Linked DNA regions of Schizosaccharomyces pombe. Changing the gene in region 3 together with the main gene of any one other region gives a genetic interaction. Each region holds a gene or a part of one and is shown on either strand. Other genes may lie near its edges.

What was found.
Region 1: mutations in sec8 (region 3) and rho3 are lethal when combined (synthetic lethality), as found in Schizosaccharomyces pombe (2 studies listed by BioGRID).
Region 2: mutations in sec8 (region 3) and for3 are lethal when combined (synthetic lethality), as found in Schizosaccharomyces pombe (3 studies listed by BioGRID, with this or other methods).
Region 4: mutations in sec8 (region 3) and rho4 impair growth when combined (synthetic growth defect), as found in Schizosaccharomyces pombe (2 studies listed by BioGRID).

The regions. Positions count from the first base shown.
Region 1 is NC_003424.3:1,038,312-1,044,496, reverse strand, and holds rho3 (Rho family GTPase Rho3), read right to left. Parts: upstream 3,049-6,185; 5' UTR 2,963-3,048; coding exon 2,899-2,962; intron 2,825-2,898; coding exon 2,752-2,824; intron 2,518-2,751; exon of another isoform or gene 2,428-2,517; coding exon 1,947-2,427; 3' UTR 1,414-1,946; downstream 1-1,413. Other genes in the region: SPOM_SPAC23C4.09C (chaperonin-containing T-complex associated protein), read left to right, coding at 423-496, 708-777, 826-901, 985-1,115, 1,233-1,277; karyogamy protein Tht2, read right to left, coding at 3,651-4,256; efm6 (methyltransferase), read left to right, coding at 4,848-5,831. UniProt on the Schizosaccharomyces pombe protein: Involved in controlling cell shape and septation. Regulates cell separation by modulating the function of the exocyst complex. Involved in post-Golgi vesicle transport. Involved in driving sexual development in a palmitoylation-dependent manner.
Region 2 is NC_003421.2:998,958-1,008,345, reverse strand, and holds for3 (formin For3), read right to left. Parts: upstream 5,597-9,388; 5' UTR 5,217-5,596; coding exon 831-5,216; downstream 1-830. Other genes in the region: SNARE protein Ufe1, read left to right, coding at 6,082-6,201, 6,399-6,633, 6,722-7,326; SUA5/yciO/yrdC family protein Sua5, read left to right, coding at 8,178-9,388. UniProt on the Schizosaccharomyces pombe protein: Involved in controlling polarized cell growth. Required for interphase actin cable formation and microtubule organization.
Region 3 is NC_003421.2:488,722-499,270, forward strand, and holds sec8 (exocyst complex subunit Exo4), read right to left. Parts: upstream 7,213-10,549; 5' UTR 7,206-7,212; coding exon 7,046-7,205; exon of another isoform or gene 7,002-7,045; coding exon 6,952-7,001; exon of another isoform or gene 6,892-6,951; coding exon 5,282-6,891; exon of another isoform or gene 5,265-5,281; intron 5,234-5,264; coding exon 5,059-5,233; intron 5,018-5,058; coding exon 4,879-5,017; intron 4,829-4,878; coding exon 4,387-4,828; exon of another isoform or gene 4,342-4,386; coding exon 4,111-4,341; exon of another isoform or gene 4,064-4,110; coding exon 3,649-4,063; 3' UTR 3,454-3,648; coding exon of another isoform or gene 1,501-3,453; 3' UTR 1,437-1,500; coding exon of another isoform or gene 1,347-1,436; 3' UTR 1,295-1,346; downstream 1-1,294. Other genes in the region: histone H2B-K119 ubiquitin ligase complex (HULC) subunit, ubiquitin-protein ligase E3 Brl2, read left to right, coding at 1,347-1,436, 1,501-3,453; kcs1 (inositol polyphosphate kinase), read right to left, coding at 8,142-10,549.
Region 4 is NC_003424.3:3,083,189-3,089,662, reverse strand, and holds rho4 (Rho family GTPase Rho4), read right to left. Parts: upstream 2,651-6,474; 5' UTR 2,626-2,650; coding exon 2,592-2,625; intron 2,537-2,591; coding exon 2,495-2,536; intron 2,434-2,494; coding exon 2,387-2,433; intron 2,280-2,386; coding exon 2,076-2,279; intron 1,960-2,075; coding exon 1,825-1,959; intron 1,769-1,824; coding exon 1,619-1,768; 3' UTR 1,044-1,618; downstream 1-1,043. Other genes in the region: Smc5-6 complex non-SMC SUMO ligase subunit Nse2, read left to right, coding at 1-80; DASH complex subunit Dad1, read left to right, coding at 338-610; SPOM_SPAC16A10.03C (Pep5/Vps11-like zinc finger domain-containing protein), read left to right, coding at 5,419-5,433, 5,473-5,538, 5,582-5,761, 5,813-6,474. UniProt on the Schizosaccharomyces pombe protein: Required for cell separation. Involved in the regulation of the septum degradation during cytokinesis and in the organization of F-actin patches and cytoplasmic microtubules.

The DNA.
Region 1 (6,185 bases), on a different chromosome or scaffold from region 3:
AATTCGTTGAACAATTTAGCTATACCAATTGTTTACGTTGAAAATACTTCTTCATCAATAAGTTTTGGGGTTGACTATGATTTGGAAGTAATCGTCTAATAATCGCTTATGCTATATGAATAGGTGTTGCTGTCACACACTGGATTTTGACCAGGTTTCTTCGTGATAGCAGACTGCTTTGTCAAGATAAGGGTAATAAGTACATGTCTACTAGAAAAAGAAAGTTAAAAAAAGTATTACTCACCAATATGGTCCTCTCGACACAATTGATTATGCTAGCGCTTGTTAATTGCTATTATTCCATAGCAGTACCGCAAATCTATCGTTAATCCTTTGCAACACCACAAATTTGAGCATTACACAAGTCTCAATTAAAAAACATTTGTGCATCAGTTCTTGCTTAATAATTAGGCTTATTCATAATGGATGAAGAATTGCAAGCTATAAGACAAGCTCGTTTAGCACAACTTCAAGCTGAACATGGTTCTGCCCCTAGGTATGTTCTTAGTTTCGAAACTTGCATATAAACTTCAAAACTCTACGACTGAAAGTTATAATTTTTTATTAGAATTCACTTGAAGGATTATGTTGGTAAATGACGAGATTTAATGAATCATTTTAAAATTACACAAAGGAAATCCGATAGTGAATTTAGAAACTAATTTATTTATATACTCCATTTTTTTTACAAGAATTAACAAATCTAGTAATATTGCTTCAGGTCCATCAAGCAATCAGCAACAACAGGAGGTACAAGATGAAATGCGACAAAATCTAGTATGTTTATGATGTGTATGGTCCATATCCGACTAACAATTTCATAAGCTTTCTCAAATTTTGGAACACCCAGCAAGAGACAGACTTCGTCGTATAGCGTTGGTACGAAAAGATCGTGCTGAAGGTAAGTGTGATTTCATTTTCTGCGGCGGATAATAATTTAATATCTGTTTACGAATAATGTAAACATGTGTCTAATTTGTGTAGCTGTTGAAGAGCTCCTGTTACGTATGGCCAAAACGGGCCAGATATCTCATAAAATCTCAGAGCCCGAACTTATCGAATTGTTAGAAAAAATTTCTGGTGAGGTCTCCAAACGTAATGAAACAAAAATTGTGGTAAGTGCCTTACTAATTCCTTCTCTCCTTTTTTATTTCAAATTCATCTGAGGAGAGAAATATCAAAAAAAAACATCTGTTTATATTACATGGTCCAGAGTTTAACTGTTTAATTAGATCAATCGACGTGTTCAAGACGATGAGGATGACTGGGATCTTTAATTTAAAGGATAAAGACATAATAAATTTTGTTTTACTTTCAAATGGATCAAATTGAATTAGGGTTGCACGGATGCACGAATACAACATATTGGGTAGTCTAAATTTTTACAATTTTTAACTTCAATTACGATATTTAGGGGTAACACTTCATATTACATAAATATTTAAGGTGCTTTCTAAAACGGTAGGATTTGACTCAGACCCATGTCTTACAACCGAAAGACTAATCCTTATTGCTCAACAGTATGCTTATCGTAAAAGAAAAGGGGTAGATTAATTGATTAGATTAGCAACTCAACGATTACACGAACAGAAGGAGAATTGAACAACTCAAAGTGTACAAGTTTCAAAAAAGAAGGAAAGTAAGGTTCACTGCAAACACTCTTTTTCACGATTGTACAAATACCTGCTGTTTCAAGTAGGAAGGTAAGAAAGATAGACAATACACCTGAAATAAGGAGATAAACTCATTGGAAACGGACAGAATCCCCAAGTGTCAAATTTAAAACCTTGAGAACAGCAAAGGGGATAAAAGTCAAAAGTACAAACCATTGAAAAAAGGTTAACGCTATTCAAAGGCCACCGCAACACCCACACTAACGTCATATACAATAATAAACTTCGAACATTAGAAATAAGACTTTTAGGCGCTTTCAAAAGAAAGTGCTTTCAAGCAATGATACATCCGGTACCATGGGATTCATCAGCACCATCCTTTGTACCTCTTGGTTGCGCGGCAAGGGCAACGCGTGCAGCTTCCGTGAAAGCTTCATTTACGCCACGATTTAATTTAGCGCTGCATTCTAAATATCGTACAGCGTTGATTTTTTTTGCCGCTGCCAGTCCTTCCTCGTAATCAATAATTTTACTGTGATCAACTTGCTCCTCATCAGCTCCACGTAAATCACATTTTAGAGCAACAAGAACCAATTTAACACCAGGGCAATTACTAGAGACTTCCGGAAGCCATTTTGTGATTACATTTTCTAATGAGTCTCGTGAATCCACGGCAAAGCAGATCATAATAACATGTGTATCTGAATATGATAACGAACGCAGTTGATCATACTCTTCTTGACCAGCTGTATCCCATAGAGACAGTTCTATACTGTTTCCATCGACAAAGATATCATGAATGTAGTTTTCAAATCTATTTTTAGGTGTTAGATAACGGAAAAAGTTTTTAAGTACAAGAAGATAATCATGTAAAGAAGTGGTGAAAACCCTTAACAGGTCAAGCATAGTAAAAGCAATTTGACGTTTGGTCATGAGAAATTGTACGAGTGTGACTGTATGGAGAGCACACTCGGGCATTCTCGTTTTCCTCAGAAATGAAACAAATTTCCACAAATTAACCCGTTAGATAAAAGGTTTGCAAAAAAAGATGCTTCATATTGAGTTATACTTGATATTGCAGACGGTAACCTCATTTCCGCTCCGCCGTTTACAGCTTTGCACTATTAATGATACTTACATAGTAGGCTCGTATACCTGAGGGAAATAACCCTTAGTAAATACATTTAACAAACTGGTTTTACCAGCAGCACCTATAATTTACGGTTAGAATGCTTAGCTGCGAAAATCACGAAAGAAAAAACAAAATTTTCACCAAGATCCTTACCATCACCAAGAATTACGATTTTCCGATAAATAGGCTTCTTTTTACTTCCGAAACAGCTTGACATACTTTCAATGAGCTTCAATCAAGCTTTCTATGGGTTTTTCAATGGTTTCTGTATAATAAAGGATTAGAGGTGTTTGGTTTAGGTACGAATTTTGTACCATGAGCTAAAGCCTACGCAAGACCCCAGCTTACTGCTTAGCGAAGGACATACATGTCCTTGTGCGCTGTAGATTGGCTTCTACATTTCAGGTAACAATCAAATTTAGAATAATTAAGGCGATGCGAACCAGTTTATTAAAAGAGATACGGAAATACGTAATACAGAATGAACTTCGCAAGTAGGATTGTTTCATAATATATTTTGATGAGTAAAGCATTAATTCATTGATGAACAAAACCTTCGAAGGATAGTTTTACTAAAATATATTGGGGAAGTCTACTCTCAGTCTCAAAATGAAATACACGGTATATATAACGTGATTGCTAAATAGGAAGAAAATCAACAGCACCAGTTAGTGAAAGTTGACCAAGGGCTTGTCAATTTTGAGGCAACCCTTTCAATTGAAAGTTTAAAATTTAATTGAAAATCGTACTTTGATGAGTTTGAAAAAGGAGTCACACAATAGTACAACCAACTTTACCGTGGTTTGTTTCATGATAATAGTTTAATTTGCACAGCAACTGTTGGAATCATGAATTGAATAGCACCTTTAAAAGAAGAAAATTTTGTTTGACATTTGAATATGCTTTTAAACTTTTTGTGCCGCTTTATGGCTACTTTCCATTATGTCGTAAAGTGTTTTTGCCGAGTCATTCAGAGCATCTGTATAATGTTGAGTTAAAACAAGCCATTCGGCTACAAAAGAAAGCATCTGTAATTCCATCTGTTTTCTATGATAACCCAATTGGAATTGGAAAAACCATTCTTGAGAAGAATCGCAAATTTGAAACTCCTTCGCTACCTTTAACGTTGTTTCAAACGCCTCGCACAATTTGCTGTAAACCATCATACAGAATTTGAGCATTTGTTCAATTTGCTTTGCTAGTGACATAAATACCATCTTTACTGTGTTCGAGGTTGACACAGACGTTTTTTTCATAAGTGATTGATTTTTGTACAACCTTCTTTTTGCGCGCAATAATAGTCTACTACGTTCACTGATAAATACCATCTCTTGAGTTACATAATTATACATTTCTTCTGCGTAGCTTTTTGCATTTTTTGAAGATACGCTAATTTTCGTCAAATTAACTGTTACGTCCCCAAAGCTGGGATTATCATCACTCAAGCTTTTCATATAAGTCTTCCATTCCATTGGAGAATCAATTAGAAAACTGGACACCTGATTCTCCATTTTCTGTATTGTGAGGTTAAAATGTGAAGGGATCAATACACGTTTTCTCGTTTAGGTGCGCTGGTAACAACAAAAAAGTAACAAACAAAAGGAAAGTCAGCAAAACACATAATAAACCAACATGTAAAAAAGTGTTAGTGCAATTGCTTATGCCCTCAAATTTGTAATTGAGTGTTTATAAAGTTCATTTCCTTATGTGAATATTCGTATTATCAGTTATGACTCGTTGCTCTGCTTGCGACTTAAGTTTGCTACCATGCGTTTTTCTTACAACAATTCAGAGATTATTTTCATGATGATTGCTACCGGGTTGCATGAATTAACAACTTAGTTCAATTGTTTTGCTTTTACGATCAGTTTACCCTCTCTCATATTGCGGCGATAATCTGATATTTCAGAGAATTTTAGTTTTTCAAATTGCGAAAAAAAAAATTTTTCAACCAACTTGTATTTCATTGCTAGTGGTTTATTTCATTGATTGGTGAATGTGGTTTAAAGGGAAACTGAACGTTAATAGATCATTAAAAAAATTTCTGTAAGACCCCCTTTTCTTTATTTTTCCAAGGATTTTTAAAGTATTTGGACGCTTGAATGACTTTCTATTATATTAGAATTTTAAGACTCCAAGAAAAGCTCGAAGAATCCTTTAAATACGCTTTACGAGTGGTTTTTACGATAACTTCTGATCTGGGCGAAGTTTCATATCCGCAAGATGCAACCGTAAGGGTTGAAGCATTGGATAGACAACAATCTCACAGTCGTATCACAATTTCTAAGCAATGTGTTTCATGGATAGGGAATGGTCACGCGGCTGAAACGACTTTGTATTTTCCTGCTAGTCACCAGCAAATTCAATTGACGCTGCATTTAGAAAATCAGAATTCAATCGTTGATTCTATACACATAAATGCCGATACTGTATTACCAGTTTGGAGTGAAGCTTTTTCACCGAAATCTACTTTACCTAATATGGTATGGCGGTATATCCAAGGCCCAGAAAAAAAGTCACCAAACGATGGTCTCTGGTTTCTCGAACAGATGGGTAACAGTATTGCTAAGCACTTGTGGGATGCCGGCGTAGTTTTCTCAAAAAAGATTCTTTCTGATGATTGGCATTATAGCTTTTCCAATAGAAAAGACATCAATGTTTTAGAACTAGGCTCCGGATGTGGAATTGTTGGTATAAGTATTGCTAGCAAATATCCACGTGCTCTTGTGTCAATGACCGATACAGAAGATGCGATTGAATTTATGGAAAAAAATGTTGAAAAGAATAAGTCTGCAATGAGCAACAACATAACTTCTGATATTTTAGTATGGGGACATGACATTCCTCGAAAATTTCGGCGTCATTGGGATTATATTGTTATGTCAGATGTCATGTACAATGAATCTAGCTTTTCTGATTTGGAGGCAAGTCTTCAGGAATTGATGGATAAGAACACAAAGTTATATATTGCGTACAAAAAAAGACATGACAATGAAAAAACTTTTATGAGCAATATATTGGGATGGTTGGATCTTGTTTACGAAGAACGTGGTCCAATCACTATTTACATTTTACAGAAAAAATAAATTTACTTTGCATCATTTTCATTTTTCTCTTAGGATGCGTTGCTGAATCTGTCAACTTGCGAATCTCGTAACTTTTTTGTAGCAGCATGTTTATATTGAGATGTCTTTTCGGGTTCTTATACACAACGGTCTATAAAATTTGTAGCATCGCATAAAACCAATTTTGCATCTAAACTATCAGCGAACTTGGGAACCCATGTAAACTCTGCAAAGTACATTTTCTGTAAAATTGAATTTCGGCTTCCAGCTTTTTTGAATGGTGTTATGACGACTGGCGCGAATTTAATGATTTAGCATATTCTTTGATAAAAAAACAACTCAACATTATATAAAGCAGTTTCCTTTATTTATTCT
Region 2 (9,388 bases), 510 kb from region 3:
AAAAAGTTGTTTACAGGCTTTCAGTTTAATGTTGTAAATACAAATTGCTTCTTGACTCGGTCGTTTATATAAGAAGGGAAAAAATTAAGGAAACGAATTGACAGCACATAGAAAACAAACAAGATTTTCTAATTTACAATGTCGTAAACTAGATACTTACAAAATTTAAAACATAATTGCATTTATTTCAAGTTTTATACAGGAAACTAACGCTTCATCCTATATTTCAAAAGCTAGGTCAACAGTTGAAAATAGGAGCAATAAATAATTAAACAACAAGGACTGTTTAAACGAATGATTAAAAAAGATTAATAAATAAAGATGACAATAGAATAAAATTTTTGGTGGAGATTTCAAACAAACATCAACATTTTAGTCGATCTAAATAAAGCGATTGGGCATTCCTTTTACAATTGGTGCGACGCTTATCCAAATTTGTTCTCTGTTAGCTTCATAAAAATGAAGTTAAGTAATAAAAAGCTCCCCTTAATGAATCGTTATCCCAACATGTCTCTTTTCAAATAAAAATGCTGACATTTAGCAAAAAAGGATAGTCAAAAATGAACAACGTTTTGCAACGTAAGTTCAGTACTTCTAAGCACTTGGAAAAACAAGTGATTGTATTTGCTGTCAGTTTTTTGGAAATTTAGCCTTTTTAACGACAAGCGGTATGCGTAATAATACAGATAACTGTGTCACCAATATATTTTGAAGCAGCTTCAAAAAATACAGGCACACAAATTTTTAACTTCTTTCAGACAAATCGTCAATGTATGTAATGTACAGATATACTGTTCTAAAAATCCATCCTAGAAAGAACAATGGAGCAACTATTGTTTTTGGCGGTCATTTTCAACTAGATTTGAAGCATTAGACCCGTTAGTTAGTTCTGCAAGTAGTGACTTAGCACTCTTTGGTTCAGTGTGGCCTTTACGGCGTGTTCTAGGAATTGCAGGTTTTTGCAAACGCTCAGCAGCTTTCAGTTTGGCACGTAAAACCTCCTCATCAGGATTTGCCGAAGAAGTTAATAGTTGGGAATGTCCTTCCATTTTTTCAAGAATCATTTTGGCCTTATCTACAACATCATCCCCTTGAGCTCCGGGCTCAAGTGTAGCAACGCCTTCATCGGAATAAACAGTAACAGTCCTTTTAGGGACATTTTGTATACGAGATCGTAATTCTGACATTACAGTTATATATGGATCTTTTTCTTCAGCATAATCTGGTTTTTCAAGGTCTTCCATTTTATCAAGATCTTCCATTTCGTTATCATCTCCGGTCTTAGCATCACCTTCTATTTTACTGGCATCTTCCATTTTTTCATCAATTGTTTCTAAGGAATTTTTATCCTTGGAGGCCGTATCTTGTTTATCATCAGAGTCTTCTGGTAACTCTCTTTTATTTCTGTATTTTGCTACAATGGATGTCTTTTGGCGACCACGAATCAGTTTGTCACGATCCTCCGACATGATTCGTCTTTTCTCCTTCTCAAAACGTTCCTCATTCTCTGCTTTGGCGATGGAATACATTTCATAAAAAGAATTCAGGTTTTTGAAGAAAGAGTTTCTAACCTTATCAATGGAGTCATATTCACAAAGATACTTCACAGTGTTTTCAAGTTTAGTGAGCATATCAGTTTTAAGCTTTTTAATATTCCTAATCCTTTCTTTAGCCTCAGGCAACCATTCGGAAAGAATATCGTACGCCTTATCATCTGGATGATGCTGGTCGCATTTCGATAGAGCACCGTCTTTGAGAGACGTTTGAAAGTCGCAGAATTCATCATAAGCACCATCTACACCCGCAACCATAGCATCTATATTGTATCCGGAAACACTCTGAATTTTTTTAAACGTGGATTCCGCCTGCAATAATTCAGGGAAACGAGTTCGTATAATCTCATCAAAGTAGTGCATCAAAGTTAGAGCTGAGGAACTATCTCGTAAAGTTTCAAGGCGATATATCATATACAAGGAAAATGCAGATGCTCGATCATAAGGTTCATTAAAATAGTTGCCAATAATCAGTAAGACTTGAAAGAATTCAGCAAAATTTTTATCCTCCATAATACTGTCCGAAGTGTCAATGACTTCTTTCATACGAACTTCAAGTATTTCCAAATCACCAAACAACGTCGAGCGAAATTTTAGAGCTTTCATCCTTTCTTGGAAATAGTGCCGAAGGTTAACGACGAACAATACAAAAAATTTCTCAAAATAAGATAAACTGTTCACATCCGCCGTTGGTTCTTTTGGATTTTTCTTTGTGTAATCCGTACTATAAGGAATGAATGGATCGGTATAGGCATTGGTAGATGCAAGGCTAGCGCGGTCAAAGTATAAAATTGAGGCCGGTAAAAAGTCGGGTTCGACTAAAAACTTTTGAACTAAGTCCTCCACTGGCATATTAGATACAGACCGCAAAATAATAGCCATATTTTGTTCAACTGTATCAGGTAAAAGAGAAGATCGTTGGTCAGAAATTTCCACTGCAACAAAATCTTCCCTAGGAGTGTTATCAAATTTCTCATCCAAAAAATCGAGAAGCCCATTATCTATAAAAACTTTAGCGGTAATGTCAAAATTTAAGCAGAACTTTGTGAAAACATTTGGTCCAGGCAGTGGATCAACCCGTTGCCAATGGACGCGCTTCAAAGGACGAGTTGGCTTGTGAAGATCACGAAGACTAGGGATACTTGTATACTTTTCTATGGCTGCTCTCGCTGCATCATCAGCAGCTTTACGCTGTTTTCTGGCCTCTTCAAGTTGAATCTTTTGTTCTTCTGTTAAGCTGGTTTCGTCAATCTTAGGCTCTGGCTCCGCCTGCGGTGCTGGAGCATAATATCGGCTTCCACCAGCAGAAACAGCAGGGGGTGGAGGTGGTGGAGGTGGAGGTCCGGCTCCTGCTACACCAGGTGGAGGAGGAGGTGGTGGAGGTCCACCCATAATAGGAGCTGGAGGAGGAACTGGAATAGGAGCTGGAGCTGGTGTTGGAACTATTACAGCAGGAGGTGGTGGGGGAGGAGATTTAAGTAATAACTTTTGCTGCTCTTCTACGGTGTCGGAAACATCTGGTAGCAATGGCGAAGGCGAGGAAGATATTTCACTTCCGGAGAAAGATTCGTCCAAATCTTCAGTTTTGGATGGTGTATGTACACGAACAGGAATTCCACTTCCACTTAAAATATTTGGCTCAACATGATAAGAAAACTGTTCGGTCATCGCATCTAGAGAATCTTGAGAAAGGTTTCTTCTATGAACACTGTCAAAACTTTTTGAAACCTTATTAAGTAAGCCCGGTTGTAAGTGCTGCTCATTTGAATTCTGCACGTGTTCCATTTGGGATTGCAACTTATTGTATGCTTGAATTTGAGCTCTATAACGCGTTTCAAATTCGCGCTGCATGGATGCGAGGAGATTGTCTCTAAGATTTAATTCAGCTTTCAATTCATCCAATTGTTTCTTCAGAAACTGCATAGGGTCGCGGGGCCCAACGTTCAATTGGGAAAGCATAGATTCAACTTGTTCTTTCAGATGCTTGTTTTCAAGCATGGCTCCATTATACTTTGTCTTGTACTCTGCAATCTCCTCTGCGGTACCAAGTTTGTCTAAAAGTCTTTGAGATAGGATCGTTAGACCGACATTAGTATCTGCTTTGGCAGTTTTGAAACCTTCCAGTGCCTCAAGCGTGTGAGTCAATAACTGCATACTTTTTTGAATTTTTCCGTTGTCGGGTTCAGTCACAAAATACTCGAGTAGTTTAATGAAACTTTCTTTAGACCCCTCACTTCCCGTAAAGCGAGTATAAATTCTTTGAAAAACATCCCAAACAGCCTGTTGTTCCGGAGTTGTGGGTCGATTATTAGATACAGGAGTAGAGGTCTTTCGAGTAGTATTTCCATGAGGTGTATGTGATTCTTCTCTATAGTTCATCTGTTTCTTTACGCATTTCCTATCTACATTATTCACATCACTACCACTTCGGAAACGCCGAGCATCTGCATTATGCTCTTTGATTAGTAATTGCAGAGCATCACGGACGTGTCTGTTTCTCCATTTTAACAAAGAGTCGATGGCCTTTTGAAGACCAGCAGATAACAATTCATGCCTTAGAGCACACCTAAGTTGCAAATCCGGTGGAGCAGCACATAAATCTCGAATGAGAGCTAAAGTTGCAACAAGGTAATCAATCAAGCAGTCCGTATCTTCAAATTCGTCCATGTGAACAATCGCTTGAGGAGATGAATCAGCACAAACTCGGACACCAGTAATCACATCATTAAAGGAATGCATCCATGCGCTAAACCGAGTTTTTGATAACTTTTGCTCGACGAGCCATTCGAAAGCCCTGATTACAGCTTTGAAGTAACTCAACCCCTTTTTATTACAAAGGAATTTAAGGAGAAAAGTAGCCATGCGAGCTGAATTTAAACTTTTTGAAAGCACAGTCTCAGCAATAGTACCTAGAGCATTAAATCCTGGAACAGAGCATTTAGCTGAAGACTGATAACGACGACGGCAGTTTTCGCTGTTCAAACAGTGAAATAATGACTGTATTATTTGGGATTCAAGAGGTGTTTTAGATGCACGTTCAGGATAGTGACCCAGGTTTCTTAAAGCAGACAGTAAACTTTCAATACCATTTCTTTCAGCAAATTCATCCATCCACCAAATTGGTTGAATACGTAATTGAACGTTTAATAGCGATAAAAAATGGTAAGTAGGTGGGACTTCAACGACTTTTTCAATGAAAAAGTCTATCCTTTTTAAAATTCGATTATAAGTTGCTTCATCTAAAACAGTATGTTGGTTAGTAAGAGGAGCATCATCGTCATAAAAAGTGTAGCGCTTGGTTCGCTCGTTGGTAATCTCTTTAACAATGGTAGGTTTTGGAAATACACGGGATTCTAAAGGATAAATTTTACGTAACTGCTCAGTTTCGGATAAAAGTTTATCATTTATTTTTGTCTTTTGGTGATAAACAGTGTTGTAGCACATAACATATTCGGGGTCATTATTGTCATCGGAAGTAAGAGAGAGATCTTCTCGCGACTCAAAATCATTAGTACTTTGTAATTTAGAAAGATCTGAATTTTCAGATAGGGAAATCGTAGAGGGTGTTCCAATACGTTCGTTGGAAGAGGTAGAGTAACTGGAATTTCGAGATTGAATAGAACGACTAGTAGGGGGAGACCCTTCAGGCATTTTAGATGCCATTATGAATTAACATACCAAACTGGTAATTTGGTTGTAAAAAAGATACTAACGAAGCTGATTAAGGAATAAATGGTAAGGAAGAAAGCAATCTTTGGTGAAAGAGAAAATATATCGTAATGCAGAGCTTAAAGCTCCGCGGTAATGTCAACCAGATTTTAAAATCGTTTGGATGATTATATTAAAAAGTTGAAAGGAACGCAGGTATCAGATGTGATGCGAAAGTACAGCTTTTTAGAAAAAGGGGTAATCACTGTATATTGTATAACAATAAGCAAATACTGAAGGTTAAAATCAATTAAAGTTAATAATATTAGCCTTATTGCAATAAAATGCTTGATAAATATGCAAATTTAACGTTTCGAAGAGCGTTGGTAAAGGATGAATTTATGTCGCCCAAACCATGTTATTATATAGCAACCTCAACACCAGCAAAACAAAAACCTTATTTCTTCGAGATAAAGGACACAAACAACTTTTTTCAAGCTAAATTTTTAAAAATAACTCAAAAATTGTAAACAATTTGACTGCGCTCCATTCTTGTGAGGTGTATAACTGGTTACGTTTGTTTGTTTACTTGAAAATAGCTCATTTCTAAATACTTCAAAAATTGCGAAACTTTAGCTTAATTTCATTTATTGTAGACATCGACTTGAAGTAAATAAACAAAACTCGTACAATGGAGTATTTTTTTTTGCTTTTTTGAACATTTGTTACGAGCACCTTTAAGTCTCTCAATTCCGTTTACCGTGTCACTATTCATAAGGGGATATGGAATGCTACCATTTTCTAAACATCTGTTCTGTTAATTTGAAATTCATTTAACCCGGGATTTATATTTCTCCTTTCTTAGCATCTCAAATTCTGAATGACGAGTCGTACGAATGAGTTTTTTGGATTAACAAAAAATGGCGACATTGATGCAGCAAACATTCCTTTGAAAAGAATAAGTTATACGGATCCTTTTTTGGCTGAAGGATATAGAATTGTAAGTTTGAGGACGAGTTTTCTGTAATTATTGAACCAATCGGAAATTTAACCTCAACTCAATTGATCACTGTGGAGATGCGCTACCATAATATACGATTAATTATTGAGTGGGATTGGTTTAAATTTTTGACAGTATTAACTTTTGTTATTGCTTTCTATATCTAATCAGAGAGTTCAAATTGCTAACGTTAGCAGCATGAAACGATTGTTAATCTTCTAGTATTTTTGAAAAAGATTCGTGGAGCTTATTTAAAGGACAGAACATTTTCAAATGTCCAAAGACTCTCAAAACCTTTAATGGAGTGTTCACTTGAGGAGCTTTCAAAGCTTGAGCTAGATGAGGTTCAAAGGGATGAAATAGAACATGAAGTCTCTTCGGCAATCAGTAGCTGTATTCATCAAATAGCTAAGTTGCAGGAGATTGTGAAAGGTAAGCTTAAAATTTTAATACTGGTAAAATTATGTTTACTTAAATTATAAACAAAACACAGGGACATGCTTGCTAATTGCATGAGTAGAACAACAAAGTCAAATCCCTAAAAAAAGTGGTTGGCTGCAAGGTTTAAGAGACCCTAGTAAATTATCGAAAAAGGAAACTTTAGTCGCCCACCATTCATCTGTTCTGTGGTATCTGCAGTCTGAACTTTCCGATGTTTCTTCTGTTCTATATCATTTACAAGATCTGAGATTAAAACGAGGTCAGGAAAAGCGAAACATTGCTTCAGACTTTTTAACAAAAAATCCTACTGATGAAAATTCAGCTGTTGAGATCCCTGAATCTGAATTACAAACATTTTTTACTCAACAGCAACTTCAAGAACTTGAGCAAGAGAACGATGTTTTACTCCAAGAATTTGAACATACTATGGAACGTTTACGTGATACAGGGAAATCTTTGGCTGATATTACTAGACTTCAGTCGGAAATATCCGCTCAACTATCTATTCAATCAAGTGCGGCTGAAAAACTTTATGATGATGCCCTTAATGTCATGGATTCGCTGTCTGGGGGTAATCAACAACTAATCAAGGCCAAATCTAGAAGTAGTCGGACCGCTCGTCTGCTTTTTTGCATCTTTACCGTTATGGGACTTTTATTGCTATCCTTGGATCGTATTGTTTAATTCTCTTCATTCTTCTGAAACTTTATATTGTAACAATAATGACAAAGGAATGAAACTCGTTCTTCTTTGATCATGTGAAGTTCATGTCTATAATCTCATGTAAATATAATGTTTATGCTTATTCTTTCGACCATTCCTTGCACGCCCAAATAAAAATTCCTTATAATTCATCTTGGGTACGTTAGTTTTCCAAAAATTTTCTGGCCATTTACTATGAAATAGATTATGGTAAAATTGTAGCTTGAAAAATCTAGTATGATCGAATGTTTATAGAAGTTCACAATCAGTCTCGATTAATTCAAAGTCAAATTTGTTTGTTAAACATTCAGCTATATAATTTAGATTGATGCATTGGACATTAGCAAATTAACTAAATGCTTAGTCAAAAGGGATGTATTGGAAGAATATATTCTTACCCTGCCAAATAACAGAAACGATAAAAAAAAACCCACAAATAAAAACAGTAAGTGGGTTCTTTTCATTCGTGAAATCATTGTCGCGCTTACATTTCTTTTTTACAACCTCTGTAGCTAAATTCAAATTTTAAGTAAAGATCGTCGTCAATCACTACTCTAGTAAAATTTCTCAAACGAGATTTTATTTTCGTATTTAGAGTAAAATAATCTTGAGTTTTTAAATATATCTTCAACAATTATTTCTCTTACTTTGCAAGAGTCGACAACCAGCAATGATGCGCTTCAACTTAATAATAGCAATCAACTTCACCCTTCTCTCTATCAGCATTTAGCTTCTTCTTTCTAAATCAATTAACATAAAACAAGCTGAAGTATTACAATTTTATAGCAAAATTGGCCTCAGTAAGCCAGAAACTTAGGTTTTCTTCCTTGACAATGGAAACAAAAATTCAAACAGTTGATACTCGCCTTATCTCTTTTGAAAAGCCTAGTAATGATTCGGAACATCCTTTTGAACACACAAGGGTGTCCATACCTCCCTCAGAAACTCGTTCTGCATTAGAGAACGCCGCGAATATATTGAGAAACACCGATTATCCAGTTGCTTTTCCTACCGAAACAGTTTACGGTCTCGGTGCTGATGCCCGAAGGACTGAAGCAGTCTTGTCAATATACAAAGCAAAGAACCGCCCTGCTGATAACCCTTTGATTGTACATGTTGCTTCTCTGGATCAGCTACGTAGATTGCTGTTGAGTGCATATCCTAAAGCAAAGTCAGAAGTAAAAAATCAAGCACATGACTCAGAGGAGATTATTCCAAAAGTTTATTTACCGTTGATTAAAAAGTTTTGGCCTGGTCCACTCTCAATTTTGCTGCCAGTTGTTGACGAGGCTAATCCCCCGGTCTCACCAATTGTGACAGCAGGACAAAAAACGTTTGCTGTTCGCATGCCTCAACATCCTGTTGCGCTTGCCCTTATTTCTATTTCAGATTCGCCGTTAGCTGCACCATCGGCTAATGCTTCAACAAGGCCATCTCCTACGTTAGCTAAGCACGTTTACAATGATTTACAAGGTAAAATTCCTTTAATTTTAGATGGGGGAGCATGCGGTGTTGGTGTGGAGAGTACAGTTGTAAATGGACTTTGTGATCCTCCCGTAATTTTACGGCCAGGAGGCATAAGTTTAGAAGAAATTCAAAGCTCTGGAGGGGCCTGGGAGCGAACAAAAGTATTCGTAGCTAAAAAAAGTGATATGGAAACAGATTTCATCCCTCAAACTCCTGGTATGAAATACAGACACTACTCTCCAACTGCCAAAGTGCTACTTTTTGTCAATTACACAGAATCTGATGCATACGGTGTTTTTGAAAAGTATTTATCTGAGCAGGGAATCACTAAGGAAAAGCAGAAGATTGGTGTTTTATGTAGTAAACGTTGGAACGAAGAGTCATTCCCTTCTCACTGTCCGTTTGTATTTTTGCATATGGGAAGGGATGGACATGAAATTACAAAGAATTTATTCGCTCAATTGCGAGATTTGGATCTGCAGGGAGTTGATTTTGTTTTGGTTGAAGGTGTCTCCGAGGAAAATGAAGGGCTAGCTATCATGAATCGTTTGGGCAAAGCTGCTTCTGTGGTTTTTGA
Region 3 (10,549 bases):
AATGTGCATTGAGGACCGAAGTCTTTATTTATAATGTATGCGAGTCTAATTATTTGTCTTTTTTAATGGTACTCTACGCTACAAACAATAATGGTTTAACTTGTTTACGACAACTTTAAATCAACTAATGAAATCGGAAAACTCGTTGTTCCACCTTGTTAAATTCACAATTTCATTGTCGTTGTTACATTCATTTCTCCTTCATCTTGATTCTTAATTTAATCAAGCTTAATAATCATTTTTCCCTTCTGTTTAATGGTTCAATTCAAACAAAATTTAATGTTTACAAAATAATGAGCAGCATAATAGAATATTGTGGTTTAGAACGATGGTTTGTTATCGTAATTACGTGTAAGCTACGCAGTTTGGTATCTGATTTAAGGATACGTAGAACTGCGGTGAGTTTTCCTTGTGATCTATTATATTACAATACACAGGTTGTATAAGTAGCAACTGAGTATAGGTATTGTATTAACTGGGTTATAATGTTACCTATCACTAGTATAGCTCATAACTGAACCTCGTTCCTCAGTTCAGTGGTAGCTCTATTTATAGTATTCAGATAATATAGATCTGAATAGATTATCATTAAGATTAATCTCCATATCGTATCATACATGGTACGATATATAATTAGAACATGTGACATATAGTGATACGCAACGTAGTGTATCACTATATGTCATATGTTGAAATACTAGTTAAGATCCGCTTGTTGATAATCACAGGTAACTATTCGTCTATGTACATAAATACCCGTTGATAACAGCCATTTATAAATAGCGTTACAACTGAACCTCGTTCCTCAGTTCAGTTATGAGCTATACTAGTGATAGGTAACATTATAACCCAGTTAATACAATACCTATACTCAGTTGCTACTTATACAACCTGTGTGTTGCAATATAATAGATCACAAGGAAAACTCACCGCAATTTTACATTTCGTTAAAGTGGATACCAGATGGATAGTTAACTCGAATTTCTTCAAATACGACAATTTTTCACTAAAGTAGTTTAGTGACTGAGTAAATAGATCGTAAACTCGTGTCTGCCCTCTACCACTTCACTTTTACCCATTTTATTGTATTGAATGGCAATTAACTTAATTCGCTTCGAATTGCATATTTTCAATACGGCAAGTTTCAACTAAGAAGGAGAATTTGAAATAGATCTGTAAAGACGCGTATCTATAACTTGCTTATTCATTACGCGTTATTACGTTTAGTATAAGAAAAATACAGTCTGTCTTTTAGGTTTTGGCTGTTTTCTTTTTTCGTTAAAAAACAAATTGTTCTGAAAAAAAGGAAATTTATATTGATAGGTTGATGTATACGACTTTCGAGAATGTATCAGAATGGTAAACCAGATGCCCCCACAATCTTAGGCCAGAAAAGAGAACTTGAAGATGTAGAAATACAAGATGATGATATTCAGGTATGTTAACGTGTTGAGCCTTTAGGCATTCGAATGTTAAGACATGTCGCTAACTCTGTTAAAGGAAGTCTCTAAAGAAGACTTATTAAAGGATGTAAGAGTGAGGAGCATTCAATTTGATGAGTTAGAAAGTAAAATAGAGGGACTTCAAAATTTAGCAGAAGAGAAATTAAAAGTTTTAGCTACTTTGGTCTCTTGGTGGCCTGAAATACTTCAGCAGTTTAGCGTTGTGTTTCAAGGCAATGAGCTGAAGGACTTCGAGAGTGAAGGTGTTTTTTCGATTTTGGAGAAATTCCCGGAGCTTTCATACTTCAATGACGCTGTGAAAAATAATAAAACTAAAGCCTTGAGCATCATTCAAAAACTCTTGTCTACTGTTGACTCAAGCACAAATTCGGTCTCCAGAGATCCTTTTTCAGTTTTATCAATTGATGACTCTGCCCTTACTGAGAAATTAAACACCATTAATTTGGATATTGACAAGATTTTAGATGAATTGGATACCACTCGGTCTCAGCTTCATTCAATTATAAAACTACCAGATCGCTCGTCTAGTTTTACTTTGCAATGCATTAATGAATCAGTGAGACCCCAGTCTACTAAAGTGAAAGAGGAAGCAACCACCTCCTCTAAGGGGAAAGATGAAGAAAAGAAAGTTAGCACGGTTGAACAACGTACTCAACTGCAACAATTATCCAGGCTTCAAGACCAACAAAATGGTTTAATGGAGTCTCGCTCACAAAGCCTTAAAATTTTGGATTCGAACGTTAATGAAATGGATAAATTAATTATGGAACGAGAAAACGCATTAAACAACGTCGAAACTACAAACTTGAAAAAATACTCTTCCTTTTTAGCACTTAAAGAAGCTGTTTCTATGACATCTGAGCAGTTACGCGTATTAGAGCACTTATTGTCCGAATGTTCTCACGAAATAAATGTATTGTCGCAACAGTCAAAGAATTTTAACGGTGTTTTTGAATCTTCCTATCAGCCGTTAATAAACGATCTTGATCATCAAATATCTGTTATGCAAAACGATGAAAAAAGAATTAATAACGCAAAGACTGAATTAAGCTTATCCCTTGAAAAGAAGTTGGAAGCTAAAAAGCAAAAAGAGAAGGTCTACAAAGACAAGTTAGATGAACTTGCGAATTTAGAGACAATGGTATTGGAAAAGAAAAAAGCGGTGGCTACCCGTGAAGCTGCAAACAAAATCCGGCTCGTAGACCTTAACGATTTGGAGTTACAAAAAGATCTGTCAACTTACCTTTCTAAAGAGTTGGCTTCTACTGAAAAAGCATTTAGGTTGGTAAAACAGCAAACTGTGAAAAGTAGCCACTCCCATTATCAAGAATTGATAACCAAATTTAGTGTCGAAAAGGAAAAGGCGGAGCAAAAATATTTTCTGACCATGAAGTCTACAGATAGTCTTCATGCTGAAGTAAAGTTACTGCGCCAGAAGTACCAGAAGACCAACGAAATTATCTCAAAAATGTTAAATAGCCAAGACACTGCTGTCCATAGAATAATAGAGTTTGAAGATCAGCTAGCCCGTCTATCATCGGTTCGAAATAACTCTATAAAACAATCAACAACGTTTCAAGTCAAAAAGTCATCTCAAAAATCAACTATTCAAAACCTGGAAGAAAAGGTGTCTTATTTACAGCAATTTATGGATAAAAATAATGCTACATTAACAGACCTTGAATTTCAATGCTCAGATTTATCATCTTCTATAGATATACTTTCCAAGCAAGATGAAGAGCATGAAAAAGAGAAGCGAAAGTTAAAGGATACTGGGGTATCAACGTCAGCTGAAGAGTTAAAAACTTTTAGGGCCATGTGTAAGTGTTCAGTTTGTAACTTCGAGCGCTGGAAAGATCGAATTATTTCTCTCTGTGGTCATGGCTTTTGTTACCAATGCATACAAAAACGGATTGAAACACGGCAACGCAGATGCCCGATTTGCGGTCGTGGATTTGGTGCTTCTGATGTTATTCCGATACATCTTTGAAGAATATGTTTTATTTGTGTAAATTATGTCTTTCAGGAAAACGCTGTATATATAACAAATCATTTTCCTTAATATAATCTTTGAAACTAGGTCACGTAGTTTTTAAACTATCCAATGCATCTATGTTTTTAGTTAATAAATTTATTATTATAAAATCATTACTCGTCATTATAATTAAAATTCTATATTATACGGTTAAGGATTTTTTCTCGCACCACCCACAGTGTTGTCGAACTGAGTTAAAACCGAGCCAATCTTTTTCTGATACTGCCGATAAAGATCGTCCCTTCCGTTTCTTTTTGCATCTTTCATTAATCGCTGGTAATAAATTCGGACCATCTGTTTAACGTCAGGCAAAAGTTCCTTTTTGGGGGCAGCAATGAAGTGCTCGATAATTTTCTTGGCACCATTTTGGTATATTCCAAAGACTCTAGAAGATTTAGGAAATTCAACGTCGCCATGAATTTCCTTAACCGTCTTAAGAATCTGAATCATTGCTGACATATTTTTCAGCATCTGAAGACAGCTGCCTCTATTCATTGATTCTATTTTGTAAAAGATAGAGTATAGCGATGAATCAACCAGTTCACTCAGACCTTGGAATACAAACCTATAAAAAGTTAGCAAATCAATATAAGGAATTCATTTGTTATTTACCTTCGTTCCCATTCATTCAAACAGGTTTCGAGTTTCAAATTCGTCGTCACAATAGTAGAGTTGAGAGCCATTATCGAAGCATCTGGTCTTCCGCGGTACTCGACAACATAGTCAGGAAGGTTTACACTTTGATTAATACTATGAATGTACTGTAACCGAACTTCCATTCGGATTAGCAGTAAAGCATCGAATTGGAGCCTCTGTAAAGAATCAAAGACTTCTTTATATGCACTTTTATAAAAATCAGTATAAAGTTCAATACATACAGTAACATACCCCTTCATTAAATCCGAATTATTACCCAACAAATTATCAATTGGTAAAAAGTCACCACCGAAATTAGCTTGGTTTTGTTGCAAAACGTTCATTCTTCGCGAACCGTTCATAAATCTTGAAAAACAGCGCTGAAGAAACCATTCCATGGAGTTATGAAGATAAGAAACCGAGTTCACTAGGTCGGAATCTTTGGATAAAACCGATACCGGAAGTTTAACTTCGGACGTAATCGCACGATCTTCATATTGTAATAAACGCTTATTCTCCATTCGACAAAGCTCATTTAACCCTTCAAGTGATGGATTTTTTTGCTTGAGGAATTTAATAAATTGAGGGTACGTTACATCGTCGTGAAGTAGCTTTACTCGAACAGTATCATCGACATCTTCAGTATCCTCGTTGACATGTTTGTATTCTTTGAGAACAGCCGTTCTGCACAAATCTATAAAGGGTAAGCTGGGGAAACAGTGAAAAAATGGAAATGAAACATACCAGAGAGATAATCAGAACAATGGTTGCGAAAACGAACAAGCAAAGTATGTAATAATTCATAAAATTCTACCAAATTTAATGCAACAATAGGCAAATAATCTTGAAGATCGTGAAAATATTGAACAATAGCCACATGGCACTAAAATTAACGTTAATCGTAGCTTCTTAATGAGACTATACCTTAAAAATTGGGATTTTAGAGTATATCTTCCAATCTCTGTGCAATTGGAACGCACCCACGTCTTTCATTATGGTGTCAAAGTGACTCGACATAAACTTGTATAATTGTGGAATGTAACTTCCCCTTAAAAATTCTTTCATAAAATTAACAGCAAACTGAGGAGGTATATTTGGGCTAAATTTTTGTTAGCAAAATAATCCAAACTCAACTTAATTGACGTACTTTTTCAAAATAGACACACTGTCTTCCAAAAAGAATACGGTTTGAGGTAGGACAGACGAAGCATGAAAAACCGAAGGCCCAACAAATACAACGTGGCCAGCCAAACGTACAATTTCTTTCGAACTTCCAGAAAATAGTTCAATAGTGGAAACTGAAGCATTTGATTTATTAAGAATAAGCTCTGGAGCCTTTTCGTTAACCAACTCATTTATTCTGGCATAAAACGCATTACTTTTGTTCTCCACAGCAATTTCGTTTGTTACGTCGAAAAGTTTATCTTCTTCATTTTCGCCAGGGAGGTTGTATATGGACATCTCAGTTCCAACAACGAAATTTCCACTATTTTCAATATACTCTTCTTTGGAAATAAGATAATCTTTTAACATTAACCTAATTTCGCTCTCGAATGCTTGCAGCAACGTATCAAATGGAAACGTGCTATCAGAAGTATCAAATTTTGATACCTTTGGGCTTGTGGGGTCCGAGTTAACAGACATAATGCTAGATTTGTGAGAAGATGAAGCATGCTTTGGTGTTTTAGTCTCTAATTTGGTCATGAATTCGGAGATACCGCGATAATGCATTAAAACACACCTTAATTTTGTAAATAAGTTCGTCAAGAACTCGGAAATCATAGTATGCTCTCTATCAGTCTCAGCGTGCAAACCTATATCATAAAGTGATTTTGAAAAGGGATTAACGGTAGAAACGTTATTACCGAGTGAATATTTGTTAACGATTGCACGTGAAGTAGAATCTACCGTAGTAAACATCTCCGCAGAAGTACGAGACTTTAAAGATGAAATAGCATTGGGGAGTTTTCCCAATAAATTCAATGACTCCAAAACAATACGTATATCACGTAAACTGTCTCTACCATAATCCATTTTTAAGCAATCCGACAACTTTAAAGAAAGCGCTTCTTCTAGGTAACGCAATTGCTCACTTTGGCCCAGAGTTGATGTATTTGCATTGTTTTTTAAAAAATCTCTCAAAAAATATGGGTTGGAAGTTTCCCTCAGCGGATTTGGAGAGCAGTACGATACTATGGGATAAGCGACAGCATCTTTAAGGAAAGTAATTGAAACCAACTCTTCAGATAGAATGTCCTCTAAATGTGACAAGAGTCCTGTCATCCGACTTTTAAACTGCTCCACTACTAATATTCCGTCAAAATCAGAACGACTTAATTCATCCCATACACGACGTATTAAATCGCTGGCATGATAATATTGCTTGCTATCAACAAGCGTATGAAAGTTGTCAAACAGCTGGTTGGCTTCATTAAGTTCCTTGAGCACACTTATGACTTTTTTGTATTGAGAACTACGAGCCAATGTTTGTTGAAGCTCTTTGCTATTAGTATTACCAATGCATTCTTGCGAAGCCTCAAGGGATTGCTTTAATGCTATGATTCTCGAATTGCACTTCTGAATTCCCTCCATTATTTCTCCATAAGCCGATATACCTCGAGTAAAGTCATCTTTATGAGTATGGGCAATCGTTTGTAATGCAGCACTAATTCGATCGTAAACGTTCAGAAAAGACTTATAATCTCTTCCAAAGCTACTGTCATCTAATAGTTCCAACGCTGTAGATATCGGTTGATACTTAACCATTCGTTAGTAAATTCAAACATCCTCCAATCTTCACTTATTCACGCAACATACGTCTTCTCTTCCCAGGTCTTTCCATTCATCCTCAATTTCATTTACTAAATCTAGCATAAAGGTTAAATCAAAACTCCCTGCTGCTTCACCTTACTTTCTAAATCGCCTATGTGCATTCCACGCGATGCATACTCTGAACTCAATTCATTGTCCATGCTAGTTCCATAATTTGAGTAGCCGTTAGGAGATTCCAAGCTTTTCTTTCCCACTGGATACCTTCCTTTTTTCGTTTCCGAATAGCCTCTGGTATCCATGGAAGTCAAATAGTCAGTAGTTTTAGCTTGATATGTCTATTGACTGTATTATCTTTGAAAGGAGAGCTAAGAAATCACTATATGAATTACGTGGACCAACGCACTGCTATTTATTACAGCGCACCTTGATTTAATACTTTATACTGACAAGGAGCATGCAAAAGAACTCTGTATGTGTTTCAGAGTTAATGGGGGTGATGGACTATTGTATAAGAAAAGAATGATAAGGGTGTAACTAAGCTACTACTACCACGAAATAATACTAATATAAACAGAAAAATCAAGCATCCAAGAAAAGGCAAATTAAGATACTTCGCAGAAAAGTACTTTGATAAATAACTATGCCATAATAAAAAAATAAGGTATGATGAGATGATTAAGAGAATAATAATATGAGCAATGCCAAAGACCAAAATAAAAGTCAGAATAAAGGGGTGCAGATGTAACAAAAAAACTAAAAAAGAAAGAACGGTTAAAAATGCGCAATCTCAATATGCATTTTCTCCATTACAAAAATCAACACATGACAATCTTAAAAGATAAGAAAGTAAAAGAGAGATTAAGGGCATTAGAAGGATACAAGTATTAAAACCAGTAATCCTTGTAACACAAACAACACAACAAATGGGGGCGGAAAAAAAATTTATAATCCAAGAAGATTCCAACTGTCATAGCTTCGTTACAATCACTGAATTAAGAAATTTAACGAAACAGAAAGATGAAAGACTAACGACTTCTTTATATAACGGATTGCCAATTTGAAGTAATATAAATAAATAGCGGGTCTCAAGCTTCCGAGCTCAATGAACAACTCAGTGCGCAAACTATCGATAAACACTTTTGCCAAGAAATATTCAACAAAGCGATGAATGTAAGTTCTAGAGTGCTTTGAAACTAAATGCATCAAGCAACATTTTAAAGCTACCATTTGAATTATTAGGTAGACGTCTCTCCGCAAGAGTCATCATCATTTGAATAACTCATCAATCCCCCAAGTTCATCGTAAGCATTAGAGAGACTGTCTTCATAGCCCCGTTCCGCAATTTGCATTCCCTTAGCTTCCTTCCATATTTTTAGAAAGTATAGCCTCAAAGTCCGTAAACCTCGTACGTATCCTCGATCATACGTGTCTTTGTGTTGAGGAGGACATGTAGCTTTTGCTAAAAGCTCTTTATCCTCAGCAAAAACACAATTGGCAAAATCAACAATCCGAATGTCAATTTCACGAGGCTTGACTTTTTCTTTGCTGGATTTGTCGCTTGGCGGCGGCTCCCCATCATATAAAAATAGTAATGAACTAGCATACAAGCGGGATCCTTTAAGAAACCTAACAATTTGCTCTAACTGCTCTAGCTTTCTAATTATCGTGGGAATATGATGCACCAAGAGATGGCTATTGTCTTCATCGTCATCCGTTTTCCCTAAGTAACGCATCAATGCGTGTTGAAATTCCTCTCCTGCTTTAATATCACGACCTACATACTTATCTTCAAATGTATATGATTGAAGCCAAGGATGCCAAACTTGCATTCCACATATTCGGACACCAAGAACTCGAGATGTAGTCATCGCACACTTTTTAGTTTGTGAGGCTTTCTTTTTCTCCGTAGCCATTATTCCGTATTGTCTAGTACCCATCTTGACATCCAACACACAAGGTCTTTTCATTCCACTCGTTAAGTCTTCAATCACAATATATCTCTCAATCTGGGTAGAATGTTGAGATTCCGAATTTTCCGCGAGGGCATTAGCATCATTATTATTATTGTTTTGATTATCGCTTGCTGGAATCCGGTGATCTTCATCGGCGGATGCCATGTGTGGAAGAGAGAGTACTCGCCTAGGATCATTTACGCTCCTGAATGGATCTCCAATTTCTGCTGGTTCTAGAGGTGGAGGTAACTCGCTGTTTTCTTCATTGTCCATAGCAAAAATAGAGTCATCGGGTACAGTTCCATGCGAGTTCGGTGTACTTCGTAGTTCCTTTATTGTATGTCCTGTTGACTCCCTTGAATCATAATCCTCCATTGTACCAGAAACCCGAGGAAACTCGTTAGATTCTGGTTCTTCCCAAACAGCATCTGATGAAAAGCGTCTATATGACTTACCTTGATTATTGGACGGTACGTTGAGGAGTTCCTCGTCGACTTCTTCATTTTCTTCGGCAACGGCGGAATGCAAGTCGTAATGTTTATCTTCAACGCTACAGGATAAGCTTTTGTTAGGATCTGCATCCTTATCACGAGCTCGGCTAGATGTGTTTCCATTATCCAATTGTCCAAAAGCAACCGAATTATCACGAAAAACAGAAGGTCGATGGGAACTCCTTGAATGGAAACGAGTTCCAAGTCGACGTCTTGCATGCTTGGGAGCAAAAACTTCTCGTAGAACTTCCTCTCGCAGTTTTCTGTTAATTAATGTGGTTCCCCATGGAGTTTTGGGCGGTATATCAGCCACGAAAGTAGGAGATACTGGCCGTTCTCCGGCTGAAGATGATTTATGGTGTAAAGATTTGGGGCTTCCATAAGAATGAGATCTTTTGTCGGGAAGCATCCATTCAGGAAAAATATGACGGTTTTGCTCAACACTAACCTCTGGAATGTATCCATAGTCTTTTTTCTGATAACAGCTGTTAAATGTGTGTTTATGGGGGGCAGGTGTTTTAGACGATGATTCTGTATTGACATATTCCGTAGTAGAATCGTTTTCTTCTGTTTTAGTAATAGTATGAGTCACATTTAAAACACCAATATACTTTGGGATAAAGGGAAGCAATTCTGGATGGCAAGCTTCAATAGTTTCATAAAACGTATTTTCATTTCTTGTAAGTGGTTTGCAAACGGCTCTTTTAGAAAACCGGAAGAAAGCCGTATGTCCACCGACTTGATGTTTGAAGGGTTCCAATCGTACAGTAACCGGATAATCAACATTCCAATGGAAAAAAGGATGGTCTTCAGGAGGAGATGATGAGACAGATGATACAGATGATCGCGGGGTGGATGCAGGACTTTGATAAGAACGGGATACCGACCTTTCAAGCTCAAACGAAGCATCAGGTAGTAAAGGGAGGTGTTGAGATGACTTTTTAGAAGGATTATGTGGTATGTAGGTGGCTGTGGTTTTAGAACTACCACTATCTTTTCTTCGTTTAGGAGCTGAGCTCCGACCACGAGATGATCTTCGACTTAGTGATGTATCTTTTTCGGAAATAACTTCATCTAAATCATGCTGAGCACCAACACTTGGTGATCCAGATTTGGAGAGCCTTTCAGAAACAGATTCAAGAGGACTCGACACGTTGTGCAAAGCAGTATTAGTACTGTTACCGGTTTCTAAGTTATTGG
Region 4 (6,474 bases), on a different chromosome or scaffold from region 3:
GGTCTTTACTTAAGGAAGATGAGATTCTTGAACGCAGATTACGCCGCGCTCAGGAAATAAGTAATTTAAAAGAAGCTTAGTCCTTTTCTATTTACATTGTAGTACTGATCCGGATTTATTATTATTATTATTATTATTATATTTAATGTATTTGTTTATTCCAACTTGTAAATATGCATAACATGTCTCTTTTGACTAATATTCTATGCTCGTACGGAAGCTTCAATTTTGGCATTTAATTATGAAGATAGTTAAATCTAATATAAGATCTACTTGATTGTAACCTTATGATAAACTTTGGCTCATGCTTGACTTTGACACTAGCCATTAACATACCATGTCCTCAGAAAATATGGATATTACTGAAAACATACAAAATGAGCAAAATAAAGATTTTGATGATATAGATTTTGAAAGAAGGCGTCGTCTTTTGACCTTACAAATTTCAAAAAGTATGAATGAAGTTGTGAATCTTATGTCAGCTCTAAATAAAAATCTTGAAAGCATTAACGGTGTTGGAAAGGAATTTGAAAATGTCGCGTCTCTTTGGAAGGAGTTTCAAAATTCAGTGTTACAGAAGAAAGATCGTGAAATGCTAGATGCACCTTGATGGTCGTTCTTTTCTAAATGTATTTTCATTGCCGCTAAACATATGCCTTAACGCAGTTTGTTTCAAAGAATTTGCATATTAAATTAAATTATTAGTTATTATATGTTTTTTATGAATCTATAAATTTAATAGCGTCCTCAAAAATTGGTCAAAGGTCAGGATTCTTTTAAATTAACTTACATATTACAATACACAAACCTTAAGTCACTTCATTAATAATGTGTTTGTATATATATATTAGTTTTTAATCTTCCTATATTCTTCTAAAAGCTGCCAATTTTTAAATAAGCCGTTCATCGTCTGAGAGGCAGAACAACTGTTGATGTTAATATTTGCATAGTAAACTTTTTCTTTACTACTATACGAATCCTTTTAGAAATTACCATTTTAATGGTATTATTTAAATTATAAAAGGGGTTTAATGCAGTTTAGCATAATAAAAAGGTAAAAGGAATCATAAGTATTCATTTCAATATCTTCTATATAACTATCGTTTTATTCACGACATGAATACCCTGAACCAGTCAGGGTTAAAAAACCGATTTTCAAAGTTTCGGACAAATATAGGCATATTTGAAGTAAAAGTAAAAAAAAACATTAAGACCAATTGATTTTTGCTGACATATATTCAGAATCAAACAGATAACGTCTTAATAAACAAATTATAAATCACAAAATAGCTCCAATAGTCGATAATCCATCTAAACCATATTGGCTAGTTAAATACCTGAAAAGATAAAAAGTTGAGATAGGAGCAAAATTCTGAAAAGGAAACTGCTACACAATATGCTTAGATTAAAAGAAAGCATACAAGCATAATGTCTCTATTGCAGCAAACGTTTGGAGTATTGGTTTATATGCAATTAGCAATGTTAGAATGCGTAAATAAAGCGTTTTTCTTGCTTCTTATGTTCCAACAATCTCATCAAATGCTATACAAATAGGCGAAGCAAAAATGAAGACATCAAAAATGGTAAGATTAAGTAAATAAAGGCCATGATCAAGATATTATAAAATCACGCAAGACTTTTTAGAAAACGAAAATGATTTTTTTATAGTGAGGCCAACAGCAAGTTGAAAAACTTCATTTACACCAGTGTTTTCTTTGGCAGAGCATTCGACATATGGAGCGTTCATTGATAAAGCAACGGATTGAGCCTAAATATGTTAAAAAAAATAAACGAAAGAAAAAAGTTAGCTTATCATTGACATACTTGTTGGTAGGTTACTGGTGTTAAACCCTGGGTTCTTAGTACTTCAGTAGCATTCCTATCTTTGCGTAAATCCGCTTTTAGCCCGACGAGAACGATGGGAGTTCTAGGGCAAAAGTGTTGAACTTCAGGATACCACTGAAAGAAAAATGTTAGAAAATAATATGAGAAAGATGAAATACTAATGGCTAGACGCAAATGACATTGAAGAAACCCAAAGCTACGTTTAGCAATATAAATTATAGAGCACATACCTTCTCCGTAACGTTATTCAGAGAAGCCGGACAATCAATTGAGAAACACAACAAAATAACGTTGCTATTCGGGTAACTTAGAGGACGTAAACGATCATATTCCTCCTGACCAGCAGTATCCCACAAAGCAAGTTCAATAACTTTGCTGTTCGGTCCATATGTTATATCGGTGATATAATTTTCAAACACTGTAGGCACATATCTCTAGCATGATGTTAGAAATCAGTATACTTAGATAATTCAAGTGAACTGAGTACATGAATCATATGAACACTGCACTTAAACAGTTATTGTTCGATCTATTGGCATACCTCGGGAAAAGTTCCGCTTGAGAATACAATTAAAAGACATGTCTTTCCTATACATCAAGCATTAGTACATTAGACCAGCTGTCATTCACCTATATTTATCAAGCATACCACAACCGCCATCTCCTACGACCACAAGTTTCTTTGAAGTCTCTGAAAAATTAGCAAAAACTTTAAGATATTTGAGAAAAAGGAACAATTGAATTACCTGACTTGGATCCACTCTTTTTGAAAGCAGACATATTGCCTTTGTTGTTGTTAATGTTTGCTTACCAGCTGAGATTGCTGGTATTTCCAAGCTAAACATTGCCATGACAACGCAGCACGTAAACAATAGGTAAATAAATATATAAAACAGTAAACGGAATATCCGCGATGAAACATATTTAAATTTATCAAGTGTGCATGGAATTTACGAAGGACTATGCCGGTTAATTGTTTTAATTGAAAAAGTTAGGTTGTTAGCCACCAAAAAAATTATAGGTATATATACCTGTCTATTTTTATTTTTAGGATTCAATGGACATTGCAAAGTTGTCAATTGTTGAGTCTGCCTAATAAAAGATGCTCGGTGTATTCATTATCATTCATATAATCCAAACGTTCTGTTTTCAACTAGTTCTACAAGCCTACATTTCAGGTTGCTAGAAACGTGTACATTAGTTAGATAAAAATACCTAACGAAATTGAAATATTTACCGCCAAAAGTATATATGGCAGGCTAGTCTAACACCTCATCGTTAAGTTGGCGACTCAATAAGTGAATTCATCAGCTTATACTAATTAATAAAGTAACGGGTTTTGGGAACTAAATTATTGAAGTAAAAATACATAATAATTAATTGATTATTCTACTTGGCCTTGAAGTACCATAACCAAAAAATTAACTCCCAAGGCGAGACTCGAACTCGCAACCTTCTGATGACCATCATAAGAGTCAGACGCTCTAAACCGATTGAGCCACTCGGGACTTGCTTGTACTTTAACGGATTAAATCTAATTTACGCATTTTCTTTAATTCACTTAAATAAGTAAGAAATGAGAATGAATAATAAAAATAATGTTCTGGCTATTTATTAGCAACATTCTAATAACTTTTGAATGTAATGTTAGCCCTTAAAATTTATAGATTACTGTTAGGTTTTGAAAATTTTTGTAAGTATGGGAAGTCATCATACGCGCAAAGGTAACAGCGTTTTGTTTGAAGAAGGAAACAATTCATGTATACTCGGATTTATTGCTGTTTTGTTTATACTCAACGCAACGCCCATGCTTAGAAGGTTGACAAGGAAAATTAATCAAACGGTTCTTGAGGGCTTGGTGATTGATTTGAAAGTTTGAAGGAAATGATTCATAGGCCTTAAGTATAGTTTGCTATTCCAAAACCTGTATACTGTCTACTAGAAAGAACGAGTAGTCTGTTTAGCTTTTCAGTTTGTCTGGATAGTTGTTTTCGATGGATTTCGAATTCCTGTACTGCTTCGTGTAACCGTACTCTTCAACTTTTCAGCATTGCGAAATTATTCTTTTTAGCTTTTTTTAGAGTTTTGATCATTAGGAATATTCATAAGAGAGGCTCTTCATGGAATCGTTGACGCGTTGCGGAAAACATAGATCATTCCTACCGCTTTTATTATGGCTGCAGACTTCATACTTCTGTATACAGTAGGAAAAAAGAGGCCTGGACATCAATTGAATCGCTGGGTGCAGTGTACGTGAGTCTTCTGCCTTTAAAATTCATTTACAGTTTAATCCTACCTTTCATTTGTATAAAATCTGTATCCATCATTTAAGTGCTTGTCAGATCACAACGAATTTTTGGTAGAAGAGTCTCGTTTGAATTACTGAACGTTACTAAAAATCAAGCAATGAAGAAAGTTTTATAGATAGTTTCAATTCCCCATACAAATATTAAATTGTATTGGTAACAATTTTTGCTTGTGCAAATTTGTTGGCTGAATGCTCTCGTCTATACTAGCTTCTTTTGGCATTTGTTACGGAGATAAAAAGTATGGAACTTAAAAGAGCTATTATAAAAAAAATGACTTGAAGGTTTTCCTTCTACATTTAATTTTGGTTTTTTGGTCGATTCTTTGTCCGTGCTAAATGTACAACTTCGTGTTGAAGGTACTATTTGGAAGGAAACAAAAACCGACTTGTGGTCACAATGTACATTCAAACGAATAGCAACTCTGGTCTGTATTCAATTTCCTTGAACTTGGATTCTTTGCGGCAAACAATAATGAACGTCCTGTTTCTCAAAAAAATAATGCTTAGGGTAAGATACTATTTTACATTACGTGAGATCCATGGATCAAAGCTTTTGCTTGTTCGCTAGTAAAATAGTTGACTACCCATTCATTAATATTTTGAGTGTAGCTCGTCCGTTGTTCCTCTTGAGCGCGTTTTAGGTTTTTTTCACTTGGTCTGAGCAAAATGTTAAAAGGAACGGGCCCATTTTTTGGTATGTTTTAATGATTAAATTTAAAATTACTAACTATTCAATTCCCAAATTATCAGAATTGCGTATTTAGTAAGAACGCGGTTGCTCATCTTTTTATTAAAACATGCTGAATTCCGTTTCCGGTTTCAAAATTTTGAGAAAGTGATGAATCTTATTATAATGTAAAATAAATTTAATGTATTTATTTGCGTACTAGAAGAGATGAAGTTTGTTTATTAAGCATAGATGGTATATTTTCTTGTCTTAAACAAATTTGGACGCATGTAAGACTTGCTTAGTTGATGAATATGTAATGAATACCCAAACAGATGAATTTAGAAGTTTATTAGTAATGTGAATACCATTACAAGTTATTCTTAATTGTATCTGTTGTACTAAGTATTATAGTAATAACTGTATAGAACAGTAAGTGTTACCTCAGTAATACTCGTTATTTTATGTAGTACAGTAGTACTGCACCTAAACATTTATTATTCCTCTTAAAGCTTTTAAAAAACTGGAACGTGGTTTAAAGAAATCCTCGGATTTCACCTACAGCGTAAATAATTTTGATCAAAAACTTGATAGTTTTATGAATATAAACGAGGTAGATCAAACATATAGATCCTTACTAACATTGAAACAGTGGGAGAAGTTTTCACTTTTCCAATGGCAAGAATGTCCAAGTATCAAAATACTGCATGATTCAGTGGTACGTTTAAAAGTATAGGAAGTGTACACTAACATGAAATTAGGGAAATAAAATCAGTTGCATTGGAAAAAGTACAAAGAGAATTGCAATTGGCACGTTGGATGGACGAATCGTTATTTTGAACTCTCGTTTGCAACTCATTCGTGATTTTTACGCTTGCGAACAAGGCATTGTCCAACAAATCTACATAACTGCAGATCAATCGGCTTTATGCTGTGTTGTTGTAAGTCACATGATATGTTTAAATGCTAATCATAATTTATGTTGGTTGTAGCTTGATAAGCAAAACTTTGTTTATTTACAATTTTGGTCCTTGAATCCATCTAAAAAAACAAACTCAAACTCACCTTTATGTCTTTACGAGCATCGACTATATGGAATTCCGAATCCACCTTTTCCTGCAACTTCACTGTATGTTTCGATTGATATTAAAACCGTGGTTTGTGGATTTGCAAATGGATTGGTTATACGCGTTGAAGGTGATTTTGTAAGAGATTTGGGATCAAGACAAGATATTATACTAAGAGAAAAAGATTCTATAACAAATCTTATCTTATATTCACCTAAAAAACTATTTGTTTCTACCACGACTCAGGTTATGGTTTATAAGATAAAAAATAACACCAAAAAGGTCATTTCCAATCATGGTATACCTTTATTTTGTTCAATTCAGTATCAAGGAAAGTATATCATGTGCGCTGGTGGCTCCTTTCTTTCTGTTTATACCACTCCTGATATGCAGTTACAAAACACATACTGTGTCGATGGTACATTTGAACTCCTATTTTCTAGTTTTGGGCTTGTTTTTGTGGTATACACTAGAAAAAATGGTGAAAACGGACTGGAAAACAATTCATCTATACGCGAAATCAAAGCATTGGACGTAGAGAAACGCTATGTTCTATATGAAAGTTTACTTGAACAGAGCTATGATAA